Styela clava: one gene and its partner. The protein of the gene in region 2 interacts with the protein of the main gene of each other region in a biochemical or structural test. Links are inferred from orthologs where the notes say so. Each region holds a gene or a part of one and is shown on either strand. Other genes may lie near its edges. The genes, in order: CD2 antigen cytoplasmic tail-binding protein 2 homolog and pre-mRNA-processing factor 6-like.

Evidence for each region.
Region 1: the proteins of pre-mRNA-processing factor 6-like (region 2) and CD2 antigen cytoplasmic tail-binding protein 2 homolog form a complex in vitro, tested with the Homo sapiens proteins (2 studies listed by BioGRID and IntAct). The link is inferred for Styela clava from reciprocal best matches to the Homo sapiens genes PRPF6 and CD2BP2.

Annotation. Positions count from the first base shown.
Region 1 is NC_135258.1:7,298,181-7,305,896, forward strand, and holds CD2 antigen cytoplasmic tail-binding protein 2 homolog, read right to left. Parts: upstream 2,355-7,716; 5' UTR 2,288-2,354; coding exon 1,193-2,287; 3' UTR 1,183-1,192; downstream 1-1,182. Other genes in the region: ELMO domain-containing protein 3-like, read right to left, coding at 364-471. UniProt on the Homo sapiens protein: Involved in pre-mRNA splicing as component of the U5 snRNP complex that is involved in spliceosome assembly.
Region 2 is NC_135256.1:6,263,111-6,272,094, reverse strand, and holds the start of pre-mRNA-processing factor 6-like, read left to right. Parts: upstream 1-5,271; 5' UTR 5,272-5,351; coding exon 5,352-5,449; intron 5,450-6,872; coding exon 6,873-7,038; intron 7,039-8,276; coding exon 8,277-8,489; intron 8,490-8,984. UniProt on the Homo sapiens protein: Involved in pre-mRNA splicing as component of the U4/U6-U5 tri-snRNP complex, one of the building blocks of the spliceosome.

The DNA of each region.
Region 1 (7,716 bases), on a different chromosome or scaffold from region 2:
TAAACATCCCCAAAATTAAAAAGTCCCATGTTTCTTGTGATCACCTCCACAATATTTGACTCTGTGTGGGAAATTTAGTAGTTTAATAGCAAGTGTGTTTTAACACTACACTACAGCCAAGTGAATATCAATGTAAGCAATATTGTTTGATAAATTTACACAAAACTATAGACACAATGGTGGAGAAAGCTGACCAGTTGGTACATAAATCACCACCAATTATCCACGGAGTTACAACATGAATTTCCTCCTCAAATAACTACTACAGAGAAATCAGTGGCGGTAATGTCATACGTGTTCTTATAATAAACAAAACCGAAATAAATGACAATAAGCCAAATTTTCACCAAATCAAAAATGTACCTTGAAATTTTGATCCTCCAATTTTTCAAAACCAAGTTCAATATTCACGTCTTTATCCGAAATAACATTATTCGTGTTGGTGCTCGAAGAACCTCCTGTAACCTCCATTATTTCATTATTTCACTAAATAAAAAATAAAAAAAAATATTGAATATTCCATATTCAAACCAATATTTGTTTTATGTATTTTGTTGGCATTTCATTTGTGTGCGTTAAAAATGTTGGGAACCAAACGATTTAAACAACCAAATAAAACATAGGAACTACTCTAGGTCAAACTCCTGCCAAAGGGATGAAAATTTAGTAGTTCGATAAAATTAAGGAGAAGATAAATGACTGTTGCAGACTAAAATTATCAAAAAGTATTTCCAATACTCTGTAATTGAAACATGACCAAAATTAAGCCAAAAAAGGGCATTTGAAAAAACGCATTATCAGCTGACAAAGTTTAACGTTGTAACTTAAATGAACTGACACCCAAAACACTAAAGCAGGGTCTTTCACTGATATTTTGAAGATTATTTTGACAAGGTATAATCTACAAAATAGCAAATGAAAGACTGTAATTTAGTCTCAACTCAGTGCAGCAGTGAGACCAATCAACACACAGTTGAGGCACAAGAAATAGTAACATTATCTATAAAACCCTCAAATGCAGAGTTATTTTTACCCTACATAACTTCTCAGATTGAGTTAATCTTAGTTTTGCAGTTGTGACATAATTTACAGATAAACTTTATGCCCCAAAAAATCTCCTCCCACAGCTGAGTAAATCCACATTAAAGAAGAGTAAGAATTTGGAAAAAATGAGGACGCTTAGTTTCATAGATCAAGTATAAAGATCAAAATCTATTCGTTTGGATGAATAGAACTGTGATTCATCACGATCTGTTCTTCGAACCAAAACACCATCTTTAAAATAACCTTGTTCTTGCCATTCAAACATTTCTTGTGATGTGAAAGGTCCATGGATTTCAGAATCTTCCTCAGTCCATTTAAATTCCCATTTTATTACATTTTCACCGTTACTATTCTCATTTCTATTAGTACTTCCAGATTCATTCATTTTGTCTGTTTCATCTATGTTACTTGCTAATATATCCAAAGCATCATCGTCATCCGCGTCATCAGGTATAACTGGCTCTTTCGCCTTTTTCTCGGCCTCCATTTTTTCAATTTTATGTTGAAACTTTTCGTAAGTATCTGTATAAACATCGTAATGTCCGGCGCCAGTCATTTCATCTGCTAGACCAGTCAATTCCAACAATTTCTCTTTCTGTTTCGCTTCCTTGTCATTTTCATTACTTGTGCTTGTTTCCTCATTTGTAGCATTAAGGTCGTAAACTTTTTCTTTTCGCCATGAACGTTTCTTCTTCTCCTTTCCGCCGTGGCGTCGAAGAGCTCTGGTTAATGTTTCTCCAGGTAGCATGAGAGCAACTATTTTCTTCAAAACTTCAAGTTCATCTAAAGTATTTTCTCCATCATCAGATGAATCTTGCTCCATTTCAACATCTTTCTTTTTAACTTTCATCCAGTCAATATTATCCAACCAATTATCCCGAATGACGTTCTCCTTCCGGAAATGATAATTCCCTTGAACATCAAAGTCTCCTTCAGCCATTTCCTCCTTTAGGTTGAAAGGTGTGATTCCAACTTCCTCCCCTGTGTCCACATAATCATCTTCTGCTCCTTCAACATCTTCTTCTGTTAATTTTTCAAAATCTTCTTTCTTATTATTATCTTCTTCATCACTATCAAGGCTGTGGTCGAGTTTGAATCTAGATTGATGGTGACTCCGTCCAACAATATCTTCCTGATTATTTTTTAGTTCAAATTTTTTTGTAGATGCATCATCATATTTTGGAAATTTATGCACAGTCTCTTCTGCACCAGCTTCACCACTGAATCTCACTCTTTTTGACATCTCAAAAAATACTGGTATCTGGCTTGGATACCGTATAGAGCTGTGACATACCGGTACGGTACCTATAACTGTAAAAAGTAAAAATTTCAGTCAATGAATATTTTTAAGATAAAATAAAATTGGAAAATATCCATTCCAGCATTTTACACTGAATACAGGTATCACTAAACTCTGAAAATGCCATCAACGGAGCATCATAAGAGGCCGAGGCTTGAAGTCACTGCTGCTTTTGCGGAAGCCTTCTTCGGAGATTTTCTAAATTCCACGACCCGGCGCTCGTTTTTTCATTTACGAAACAATAAATCTCTCTGGGTGTTCGGTATGAGCATGAGTGAGCACATTGTCCGGTCACTTTGTTAGCACTTGCACAATATTAAACATAAATAATAAGCAAAGCGCATACTATTTAATATATTCATCCCCACTATTGAAGTTTTGAGCAAAATAATCACTTTCCCAACCCTTCCAAATACAAATGGATGTTTCTCGACCCTTGACCCCAGAATTTTTTTTCTGGAGTTGGTAATGTGTTTTCTCGTAGTATCGCGTTACTTCAACTGATAGTGTTCCCTAAGTTGTTTACATGTTAGTTTTTAAATGTTCATAATCAGTCATTTCATTTCATTTCATTTCAGCCAAGTAAATAAATATTGACCTCACCACAGAAAATCCCAGTACAGAAAATTTCAGTGTTATCGTCATTTCCGACACATATATATCATCGACTGGCTCATCATCAACTGGCACCCACCCCACTTGCTCAAACTGATTGGACAATAATACAAATGGCATTTTTACACCAACATGCAAAATTTCTGCAATTGTCCTGAGGTTCCCTATTATATATATATATATATATATATATATATATATATATATAATAAATACCACATGGGGACCGCTGCTCTCGTCTGATTCTGTGAACTCGCTTTTTTAGTCATCTTCTTCCTCTGTTTTGTCCACCATTTATTCTGAACTGGCACCCACCCCACTTGCTCAAGCTGATTGATTGGACAATACAAATGGCATTTTTACACCAACATGCTAAATTTCTGCAATTGTCCTGTCTGATTCTGTAAACTGGCTTTTCTACTGATTTTGTAACTCGTTTTTTATTAGTCAGTCGTCCTGTCTGTCTGTCATCTGTTTGTCCGTCCGTCCGTCCGTCCTTCCCCTCAGACTGCTGACTCTGTCTCGCTTGTGCTGTCTCCTGGCCCCTTCTTCCGTAACTCGCATTAACTTCCTCCGACTCTGTTTCGCTTGTGCTGTTTTTGCTGTCTTCTTTTTTCGACTCCTGGTCCCTGGGCCCCTTTCTACTTTCTGTTTCGCTTGTGCTGTCTTCTTTTTTCAACACTTGGTCCTTTCCTACTCTCCTACTCCCTGACTACTACCTAACGCATTAACTCTGCTGCTTTTTCCTATCTTTCCCGTCATGTCTCGAACTCTGTTCATCCGCTCTCTGACTGGCTGGCCCCTCCCTACTTTCTAATTTTGTAACTCGCTTTTCTACTCCGTTGCTCTTTATTTAGCTTCTTCTTCCCTGAGCCCGCCCCTCTCTGAATGTTTCGTTTTTTTTTTATCCGACACACTCTCTGCTCTGCTGGTCCACAATGTTGCTTTGACTGGCGGCCCCTTCCTTTTACTAACTAACTTACTCTGTTGGTTGCTTTATGTCATGTCTCGGATTCTGTTTGGCTGACCCAGCTTCACATAACGCTCGCTGAACTGGACTGAACTTTATTTAACTTAAATCAGTCCGGATTTTGTAACTCGCTTTTTTGTAACCCCTGCCTCATCTTCTTCCGTGAGCCCTACCTGCATTCCCGCCACATCGGACCAGTGTGTTGACTCACATTATGTACTACTACTGTCTCATTTGCTGGTTACATGTTGCGCTGAGTTCCCTTTCTACTTTCACGCTCTCGTACCGGCCCTTCCTTCCTACTTTTGAAACTCGCTTTTCTACTCCGCTGGCTGCTCTTTATTAGTCCTGTCCCTGCCTGTACTCTCGCTCGCTACGTGTCCTCTCTGACCAGCTCATTACCTACCTATACACACGTCCTTCACTATTACTCAGCTCAACTCCATGGGATCCGAACCCTGGTCCTACGATTTACCGTGACTCTACGCTGCTGTTGCGCCATAGCTACCGATGAGGATCGGACTTTCAAAATCTTACTTAATTAACAGGTAACGTCACTCAATCAATGGCAATCTCTGACGAGCCTCCGTATCTCGAACAATAATGAAATATTGCATTGGGTCGAAGATCGTGATTATTGCCTGGATGTAAGCCGTTTATCTATACAGTATTCTATAACTATCGTCAGGGCTAGGAATGTTTGATTAAAATCATTAAGCAAAATAAGCACGTGCTCTAAGCAGTGTAAGCACCTATCGGAGGGGAGCACCACGTATTTACAATGGTGCCTCAGTGGTTACTGAATTAATTCGAGTTGGTCTGACGACTCAGACTTCAATATTGACCCGGTTAAAATAGATTTTTGCTCTTTTTTCGTTTTAATAAATCATACCCTTCTTAAATCGGAAGACATGCAGTTGTATTTTGGAAATTGTGAAATTTCACGTTTCTCCCTTATGTAGATTTTGAACAAATGGGGCATTTTCATTAACGAATTATACATAAATGCTAATTTTTTTCCCCAACAACCGAAATTATGTGATGAGGAGTGTATATAATAAATTATGTATCAACAATTATAAAATCTCGCCACTCTTAATCAAAAAGGACAGGCTGTTGTAGTCTGGAAATTGTAAAATTTTATGTTTTCCACTTATGTCGACTTTAACCAAAAAGGCCAATTTCAGTAACGGATTACTCATAAATGCAAAGTTTTGTTTCCAACAACTTTAATTGTATGATGTACCACATATATACTATTATAATATTCAATAATAAAATCTCGCCCCTATCAATCGGAATGACATGCTGTTAGAGTTTGGAAATTGTGAAATTTCACCTGACTGACATAGACGTGACTCCTTCTTTATCGTTTTAAAAATACTAAGAACTTTCTAAAATTGTGTGTTAGGATGGAATTATTCATGTACTTTCATAATACTTTGTAATTTTGTTCTTGATAAATGAAGGACATCACAAGACACTGTCTTATTTTCAATGAAACCATTTGCATGTCGGCAGATCGACTCTAGCATACTGTTGCGTGAAATGCTATAAAAGATATCCAATGATTTTGTACCGTTTTCAGTCGGACATGATATTCGGAGGCAGGGGCGGACTAAGCCCCTTTGGTGCCCTAAGCACTGGAGGCTTTGGTGCCCCCATATATGTCTTTTAAAATACATATAATTAAGTGTATTATCCATCAAAAATACTCACAACCAACAGTAAAAAAATACAACTTCTACGAACATTTTTAGGTTTTCTTACAATTTTTTGACTGTGAAATTTTGCTCATATTCCCAAAACCAATCTTATTCTTACAAAATACATCTTTTACATTAAATAATGAACAACACAAAATTTTGAAAAGATGAAATTGAAATAAACACAATACCAACAGTAAGGAAGCAAACGATGTTTTTCGGTACGTTTACTTGAATTTGATTCTGATAAATTTTCTCATATTATCAAAACAAGTCTCTCTTCATACTAGATACTATGCAACTGACACTACAAAGGCACCACTAACATTTGAAAAGACAGAAGTCTTTCACTTACCTTTGAAAAGTTTTTTCCTAATTTTTTTAGCTGCAAAGTCTTTGATTAGATCCTCAAAACTAAGCTTATGTAACACATCTGCCTCTATACTCAACAGAGATAAAGCATCTAGTATTCTAGTCTGTCTTGTTTCATAGTTGTTCTGTAGGGGTTTTTAATATACTTCAGCTGAGAAAATGAACGTTCTGCTGAACAATTTGTGATCATTAATGTTAAAAATGTTCGAAAGCTATTGTCTACATTTGGAAAGGCGCACTCAATGTTATATTCTACAAGAATTTTGTAAAGTTCAGCATGACTGAGTCTTGATTTTTTTTCCTGTGTCATTGAATTTATGGAGCACATATAAATGAAACTGCTGAAGCTCAGCTGAGAAATTACTGTTGAAATCTTCTGGGTAAGCATCAATAATCTTTTGACAACCCTGCGAATACTTTTCCTTCTCAGCAGACAGCAGATGAAGAGACATTTGGTTGCAGTGGTAGCGTGAGCGCTTCATAGCGTTCAAATTCATCTCGTGGAATGCGCAGCTGGCCTCGTAATGATGCATTCAGATGCGCGCATGTTTGTAAGTCTACATTCTCACTTTGCAGAACTTGACTTACTCTGTAAAATTTCATTCCAAAACAATAACATAAAACGAATTCCAGCTCTTGCATTTTTATCTGCAATATAAGTAGTCTAGCTGCCTAGGTTTGCATCAACTGGCTTAGCAGAATATGATTTCCATATATTCTGGGAATTGTCACGATCAAGACTCACGCGTCAAGTCTCAACGTGAATCGAAATACCAGATGAACCGAGTACAAACTGCAGTTTAAAATTTTACCAGTACTTATTAGTCTAGTCTACCTTACCAGAAAACTCCCCAACTTCGCTGACCTCTAGATCGCTGAAATGCGATCGCGGAACCGCCACATAGTGCGCCATTTTTAATTTTGATGTTGTCGCTACACCAAACTTTCGACAAGTAAGTTTCAGTGTTCATCACTAATGTACCTTCCCCGAGCATCAACCTCCTTGTTGACTTCGAGTAATTGGCCAATCAGCAAGATGCAAAAAAGTGACGTAACAATGCACCCTTTTCGCATCCGCTCAGACACTTTTCTCCCTCAGACAGATTTTCAGGCATAGTTGTAAACATTATCTCGTTTTCGCGTTTTTTATCTCTATTCGTAAGTTTTCAGTTGTGTTTCGGAAATTTGAGTATAAATCAGATAATTAAATGATCACCATGTCTTTTTATAAGTTTTAATTCAATTGCAGTAAATGAAAAATTGGTGTAAAAATAGCTGTGTTAGACTAGGTTAAAATTCCTTACCGGTATTTATAAAAAGGTGATTATTGTACGCCATGAAACACAATGATAGTCTCAACAAATATCCCGTTTTATAGGGGCCAACTCGCGAAACCACTTTTAAAATAAGCCCCGAGAATTTTGCAATTGTAAAGTATAGGAAGAATTTTTCGGGGGTCAATGGTCGGGGATAGGTCCATTGATGTACACGTACACGAAGGTAGTTCGCAAACCTCCAACCATTGATCTAGATTCTAGAAGCTTAATATGATGCTTGAGGAAAAGAAAATACGAACAAGTCTGAGTTGTCTGTTCAACTCGTAATATTTTATTAAACACCGATGAACTATTGAAAATTCTGTTATAAAAATTTCTGTGGTGCCCCCCTTTGCTTGGTGCCCTAAGCACGTGCTTATATTGTTTACTGGT
Region 2 (8,984 bases):
TAGATGTTGTTATACAATATCCATGATAGTAAATGAATTAAAGGCCAAGTAAGAGTAAAACGTTTGTATTATTATTATTATTTAAATTATCAAACTAAGCAACAAACTCATCCCTACAACGCGCTGCCCGGGGTGGCTGCCTCGGTTTAAGTTATGATACTTTATTTAATTATCGAAGAACGGATTAGCATGAGAAATTTGAACCATGTTGAGGTCTAAGTATTGTGTAGAGAAAGAGAGTGAGTAAGAAAACTTCCTCTAAATATAACAAAATACTTTTCACGTTTTCTACAGTGTCCACACGCCTCAAACCAACTCATCTCTTTGAATCCGTGGCCAAGCCGTCTTTACACACCTCAGACTGATATGTTTGTTTGAATTCGTATTGAGTCCACTCGTCCGTGGAAGAATAGTTAACTTGGTAGGCACGTCACCATCACCAATCTTACTTTGTTTCTTTGGGAAGAAAACGCTCACTATTTTCCACCTGTCGTTGAATGTCATTAATACGCAAATAACATTGATAAAACTTACTACGTCTGCTCCTGTCGCACTAATTGAAAGAGGAAAGGACCCTGGAATCAAACGGATAAATACTGCAAGGAATAGGATGTCAGAGACAACAGCAATGCATGTCCAGGTTAACATACGCCGAAATATTTTTTGTATATTGCTAGACTTCGAAGTTTCTGCATTGCACAAAAGTTTTCTCCACTTTGACCCACTATATCTTGATTTGAATTCCATTGTGTTCTTCACAATTGGGTAGGCGAGCAGGCCAAGAAGGATGAATTGGGCTAGAAACATTGGGAGGTACAATATAGTATACAAGGGTCTAATTTTGTTTTTAATATATACACAACCCTGAGATACTCGCTCGTAACGATCAAATACAATGAAAATATTTATAACTAGAATCAAATGCGCAGAAAGCATCGCAAATATTCCCCAACTCAAGAAATTAATGAATTTTCCTGTAGTGAGACTTTTTTTATAAATTATTCTTTGTCTCACCCATAAGAAGGAATAAGTAAGATATGTAATGATCACGTAATAAATCTTTGCCACACCATTGACCGTATAACATAAAAAGAAAGTGTTTGCTCCCCGGAGTGCCTGGATGTAAACTAGTCCGATCAGAAATTTTGGAAGGAGGACGCCTTGAACAATTGTAAAAAGAATGTGCAAAACTCTACCACTGAAAAATGTTGTCGTTTCGCCGTTTTTCTTCCATTTTCCATTCTGAATACAGTAGAAAATGAAACTCGCTAACATCCAGCAGGATAGTAAAAAGAGAATTGCTTCAACTGCATGTAATAACGCCAGTATTACACTAATCACAGAGGCGTCCGAATCTCCATCGTTGAAGTTGAATGTTTGATTCGAAGCGATAGTTGAATTCACTTCTATAAAAGTGTAGTTAGTAGCAGATTCATTGGAATTACGACTGCCATTGCTTAGCACCTCTGTAGATTTGCTTCCAAAATTCATTTTGTTTTTATACTTTTTAATCAAACGAAGAACATATAAATACCTAATTCAAAGACGTACAAGTAGTACAAAATTTTTACTAGAATTGAAGTTTCATACGATGACTGATGAAAGTGCCAGAACATGAACGACAAGGCAATATATATGTGATGAAACACATGCGTAAGATGCGTTAATTATTGTTATTATGTAATAATGCATTCGTAACATCCTATTTAATCAGTATTTGTTAGCGTTACGTACAGAAATTTTGTTTTTGGACACGTAGTGGACATAACGATCGTTTCAATATTATGTTGTTGTTGTTGTTCTTGTTCTTTGACACGTTTTTAAAAAGTCGCTTTTCTCTTCGAATACTAGACCAATTGCTTTGAAATTTTCAGTGGTTAAAGATTAATTTTTTCGCTAGAAGGCTATTACTTTTGTTTATTCTTAAATTTTATATGAATCCTATGAGATATGATATTTCATACAAAATTTCGCGGTATTTATTACTCATGGGAACACTGTTTTACACTTATTTCAAGCGGTTTCGCGATCGATTGTCTTGCTCAGTACTACAGCTACTGTAGGTCGGTACTGGTAAGTTGCCATACAGGTACCGTAACGCAGTGAAATTGACTTATTCCTTCCGCAGTATTACTAATGCTGCAATGCAAGTTTTATAGCCTATCGTATGCGGAACGGAATATCAGACCTACAGGTTCGGTACCGGTACTGGTAGCTCAGTACGTAAGTACGATACTGGTACTGGTACCGGTGTCTTACCACAATGAAATTACCGTAACTTATTCTTTCACGGTCCTACCAGTGCAGTAATGCAAGCGTTGTAGCCTACTATATTTGTTTATTTTGATGAGAGTCTACTGGAAACAACATAAAATTTGAAAGGGAAGAATTGTTCTGTGATCAAATATCTGTCCTAAAGTGTAAACAACATAAAATTTGCAAGGGAACAACTGTTCTGTGATCAATTACGGTACCGTATATGGCCTACAGTGTACAGGTAAGATGCTGGCTGACTGCTAACCGGTACTGGTAGCTCAGTACGTAAGTACGATACTGGTACTGGTGCCGGTACCGGTGTCTTACCACAATGAAATTACCGTAACTTATTCTTTCACGGTCCTACCAGTGCAGTAATGCAAGCGTTGTAGCACTTGTAGCCTACTATATTTGTTTATTTTGATGAGAGTCTACTGGAAACAACATAAAATTTGAAAGGGAAGAATTGTTCTGTGATCAATTATCTGTCCTAAAGTGTAAACAACATAAAATTTGCAAGGGAACAACTGTTCTGTGATCAATTACCGTATATGGCCTACAGTGTACAGGTAAGATGCTGCCTGACTGCTAACTCAGTACCGCTTGACACGTTTTTAAAAAGTCGCTTTTCTCTTCGAATACTGGACCAATTGCTTTGAAATTTTTAGTGGTTAAAGATAAAAATTTTCTCCAGAAGGCTATTACTTTTTTTCGCTATGACGTCATCAAAATTATGTGACTCTACGTGTCCATATATTTGAGCATAGCTCTCTTGTTAAATATTCGAAGATGCTTTTATTCTATTATTAATGACTGTTTCTCACATGTTTTAAGGATTACTAATTACTTATTTAAGCTGAAATCTTCTTGTCGGTTTATTGGACACGAAATGGACCTATAGATCGTTTTGTTATTATGTTGTTGTTGATTATCATGTTGTTAGTATTTTTTTCTTTTTTTTGCTGTCAAAATCGCTTTCTATTTAACTGTTGGACCAAATGCTTTAAAATTTTCAAAGATTGTATTTTGCACTAGAAGGCTATTTTTTTTAATTTATTTCAATATTTTTGTGGGCTCTATGGGATTTGTTTTTTGGCGCTCTAGAAGTATGTGCACCAAGATGGCGAACAACAACATGATAACCCCAACCTGGTACACAATATACTATGGTCAGGTTGTGCGCCATCCTGTGCACCCAATTCGGGAGCACCGGTTTCTGTGTGCGATTTCGTCATCGAAAATTGCTCACCTTGTGGCAGTTTGCGGTACGTGTTGAACTTCGTGTCGATATATTTGAGCATTGTTCTCTTGTTAATAATATTGATCGAATACTTTACAATTCAGCCACCAAGATTTCAGTTGTACAATTTTGATATGTCCGTTTTCCTTTCTAATGCATTACATAAAAATTGATGCATAAGCCTTGCAGATAAAAACATAATTTGACATTATTTGATTCAAGCCGGAAAAGAAATCAGTGATTCGAAAGTCCGGTGAGGAATAGAGAATCTCGCACATAACTATCTCCCGTGGGATTTGACCCTGTGAACCTACGCAGGATAATCAGAGGTGCAGTGGCGATCGTTTATCTAACGCTTAGCACGATGCGCCCACCGCCGAGTCACGGGAATATGTAATTCCATTCAACACTCAAAGAAAGGCATGGTAGCTGACGTTTGGGGCAAGTCACATATCGCATTTGACAGAGAATTTTCGTTACTTATACAGTAATAATATTCGATAACAGAATCTTTGTATTATTCAGTTTAATATTGATATCACTGTTGTAATAATGTTATGCTATTTAATTAACATATTCATATGTTACCTAGCAAATCATTCAGCGTTCTATTCTTTGAAATTTTGTTGATTTGCTTTCATATTATTAGAAACAAATGTTTTTACGACACCTGTGGGCTCGTTGATACCGTAATGATTTGAGCGTTTCCATCGCCTGATCTGTTAAGCCGAAAAATATTGGATTTCAATTATCGCAACTAAAATTTCGGCGGCTGAATGGTAATGCTGTTGAGCAATATTGCTAGTTAGGATAGGATTTGCACATTTATCTCGGAGAAGATGAAAGCCGATTAGACGGCTTAATCATATGGCGAACCGGTTACACCCTAAAGCGGTGAGGAGTCTAGCAATCCTCTCGCACATAATCAACCCCGCATGGGACTCGAACCTTGCGAACCAACGCAGGGTAATCGGAGATGCGGTGACGAGCGTATTCGTAACGCGAAATATTTTTATTTCCACAAAACAATGTTAAAAAGGACAACAGTACAGATTATGTAGACAATATGAAATTATAAAATAAAGACAGAAAATGAGACGGCTGTTAAAATAAATTTTTTTTACTATTCGACAATTTACATCAGATTTATTGTATAGTTCAGAGGGCATGTGTAAATAGTTAAGAGGACATGTGTAATGCTTAGCACGATGCGCGTCACACCGACGATTTAGCAAGATTAGGAGTTTTTATTGTAAATAAATAATTAGTAATCCATAATACATGTGGGAAACAATCATCAATATTAGAATGGAAACATCTTCGAATATTTCAGAAGAAAATCACTGTATTTAATTTATCTGTTCCTGCTTATAACCACCACTTTCTTGTCGAAAATAAAATTCCGAGAACGATACCATTCGCAATTCCGAACAAATCATCTTTCATTTTAGTAATGTAAAGTCGATGATCGAAGCAGCACACCTTATAATTATATTGTCATAACTCCACATTTTTTTTGTTTTTTCAATGTATTTATACCGTTATATTCTGATATTACCATCAATGCGAACATTAAACAAAATCATTCCTCAAACCGCCTTGTGGTTGGAAAAGTTCGTGGGGCGATAGTATAGGTTCAAAGGTTGGAGTGCTCAAAAGAGAATTCTGAGGGGTGCACTGCGACCTGTGTGCAAGATGTCTCAATTCCGTTTGTCATTGGAATTTATTTGGCACAAAAAAGAAAGATTACTCAACAAAGGCAAACGGCAGAATTTAAGTATTTAATTTTTTTGTTACTTCCAGAAATTTAGATAGAACAGATACTGCACCTAATAGGTTCAATTCTAATAATTGAATGGCTGAGTTAACTGGCGTTGTACAAACACAGAAAAAAAAGAAACCTTGGTTGGGGCAACCAGCTCCCCCCGGATATGTCCCTGGCCTCGGGCGTGGGTATGTTTTTAATTTAATTGCATTGACATCAGTTTGTTTTAATGATTGAATGATTCGTCATGTATGTGTGTTTCAATAGTTCACAGTTTAACCAATATATCCAATGGTTTTATTGTCTGTATTGGGGTCTCTCTCCTATCGGGATCGTTGCGACGACTGGACGAGAAAACAAGAGCAATGGCTGTTCGATTTCGGGTTCTCGTCTGCGTGTCTTGGATGACAGTTCGCATAATTTGAAGGGCTCTATTACGTCACTGTGACTTCGTAGTGACGTAATTTTTAGCTGGTGTGGTCAGGCCTGTATTGCGTACCGTCAGACCGTAGAACTTGCTAACACCATTTTGAAAAACTATGCAAACTTAAAACTATGCTTTGAAAAAACAAGAACGAATTTGCTGATTATCTTGACACTCCAAGGACGGGTTCGCACGAGCCCCCTGAATTCCACCACTGATTAAACAGTCAGTTATACAGTTACACTACAACTACTGGACTATAATCAGCCCGACGAAATCTTTTTTTTTACATCATGATAAATATTGTTTACTGTTTTGTTTTGTTTTTATGTCAGAGTACCGAAATAAATGATTGATTGATTACTCTTATTTACAAAATCTATATTCAATTTTTCAACTTCTATAAAGTTATTAAAATGGTGTGGCAAACAATTCCCTGTTTTTTATTACAATTCTTGTTTTGGGTCCTGTATAGTTTAATAGTGCAAATATGTCTAGTAGGCATGGCTCAACAGTTTTCGCATATGTCATTTCTAACCCCCACCTAACTATGTCATCCTGAGTGACATCACTATGATGGCACAGTGACGTAATAAGGCCCGCCGAAATATTCGGGCAGCTGTCCAGAATGTGCTGGGGATCACCCAAAATCGAGAGGGTTACGTCATATACGTTCCCTCCTTTTCTCGTCAAAAATCCTCATATGAGAGAGATTGATAGGGTTAATGAGTTTGTTATCACCTGGCGCTGACGCCATTTTGAGCGATGGTACATACAATTTTGCAAGCTGTATGACATGAATGTAATGTTGTAGTGACATAATTTATGGATGGTGTAGTCAGGTTGGGGTTAGGAATAGGATTGACATGAGCAAAAATCATTATGCTACGCCCACTGGAAGTACTTGAGGTACGAAACTACACAAGACCCGATGTAAAATATCTGCAGATTACATGGCCTGCGTACTCCTGTCACACACAATATCTTTTCAAGGATAATGATAATTTCATTCAAGGCTTAAGCGGAAATGTACAAAATAATTTATTTGGAATTGGTTAACTTCCGTGATATAAAATATTTAATTTTGGGAACATTTGGATTCCCATTTTCAATTTTTTTACTTTTTATCTTCAACATTGATAAAAAAAAGATGAATTATTTTCACAACTTTTATATCATATTTTCAGAGCTACAGGTTTCACTACGAGATCTGATATTGGTCCAGCTAGAGATGTTAGCGATCCAACAGATGACCGCCATGCCCCTCCTGGCCAGCGAACATTCGGAGATCAAATGAAAGCAAAGAAACCAGAGGATGAAGAAGAAGATCTCAATGACTCAAATTATGATGAGGTAGCAATTGAAATAATTGCTTTCTTTTTGGCACTCCCTATGTGAACCAAGATGGCGTACACTATAACGTAATATGTGTACCAGGTTAGGGTTGTGCCATAATTTCAAGTCCAAATACTACGGTAGTCACTTGGCTGGTCACCGAAATCATAATAGAATTCAAATAAGGAAAATTGGCATAAAATTATTGCCTAACCCTAACTTGTTCAGGTGTCCACCATCTTGGTTCACATACTACGGTAGCACCTTCTTTTTTTTCAAATGTTTACCTGAGATACAAACTCAAAATGCACTGGTCGTTTATGGCTTTCTCCGCTATCAAATAAATGGCTAACTATTCCCATATTAGACATGGACTGGTAGCTTGACGAGAGGATGTGATCTGACACATGGTTGAGCTGTCTTATCAACTATATTCTTTCCTGAAATAAATATGAAAAATCCATTTATCGCTATATGACGCATTATGGCGTGCTAAGCATTAGGTTTACGCTCGCCACTGCACCTCTGATAACCTTGCGTGGGTTCGTAGGTACGAATCCCATGCCATGCGGGTTGATTATGTGTGAGAAGGATTGCTGGCTTCCTTCCGAACATGGACTGGTAACCGGACGAGAGGCTGTGGTATGCCATATGATTAGTCTGTCTTATGGCTTCCCTATTCCTCGGGATATATATGTACTGTAAGTCCTATTCTATAAGTATTGTTGCAGTTGAAACTTTTACAGACTAACAAAATCCATTTCTAGAAAATAAGACATAAACTAGTTTGAATTTACTACGATGATATATGTAGACGTTATCACTTTTACATATTATGCTATGATGAAGTTTTTGTTTGTATGGAAATTCAAAACGTCTGCAAATTGCATGTTTTATTGACACCTTGAACGTTTTATATAAGTTTATTTCGACTCCTTAATCAGCATAACAATAAAATGATTGATAAAAACAAATAAAAAAAATGATTGTGGAATCAGGAGAGCGAACAAAACCTTAGATAAGGTTTAAAACATACAAAATATAAGATGGAAGGTTTTGCCAAGAAGAATTGGTATGTGTTCACCCACCTAAAATTATTAAACTATTTCACACACGCACCCACCACACACACAGAGAACCACAGAGGAATTATTTAAGTAAAAAAGAAAACGCGACCTAACTTGTCCTAATATATTTTATGTAACGAGTAACGACTCTATTATACTCCTGTTTCTAAAACACAATCTGTATTTCAGTTTACTGGATATGGAGGAAATTTATTTGCATCTGCTCCTTACGAGAAAGACGATGAGGAAGCAGATGCTGTTTATGATCATCTCGATCGGAGAATGGACGAAAGAAGGAAGGAATATAGAGAGGAAAGGGAACGAGAAGAACTGGAAAAATTTCGTGAAGAAAGACCAAAAATTCAACAAATGTTCTCAGACTTGAAAAGAAAACTTGGAGTGGTAGGATCTCAAAAATTCATTCTTTTAAAAACCATACATGAGTGGCTTAGATTGACTAAGAGTTTTTGGGTCTAGTGTAGTTCGTACCTGAAGGACTTCTAGTGGGCGTAGCATAACAATTTCTTCATTATGTTAATCCTAACCCCCACCTGACTATGTCATCCGAAAATTACATCATCACGACGGTGGGGGTTAGGATTGAGATGTGCAAAAATCTTTATGCTTCGCCCACTAGAAGAACTTGAGGTACAAAACTACACGAGACCCGAATTTTTGATAGTTATATCACAGTAAAAATAAAATACACCGGCAGATAGAATTAGGGCGCTGGAGCCAAGCTTACCATAATAGACGAGCTGAAGCTACCAGAAATTATTCAATTGATTCCAAGTTTAAAATAGTTAAAAAGTGTGTGCAAAAATCGTTATGCTACGCCCACTAGAAGAACTTGGGGTACAAAACTACACGAGACCCGAATTTTTAATAGTCATATCA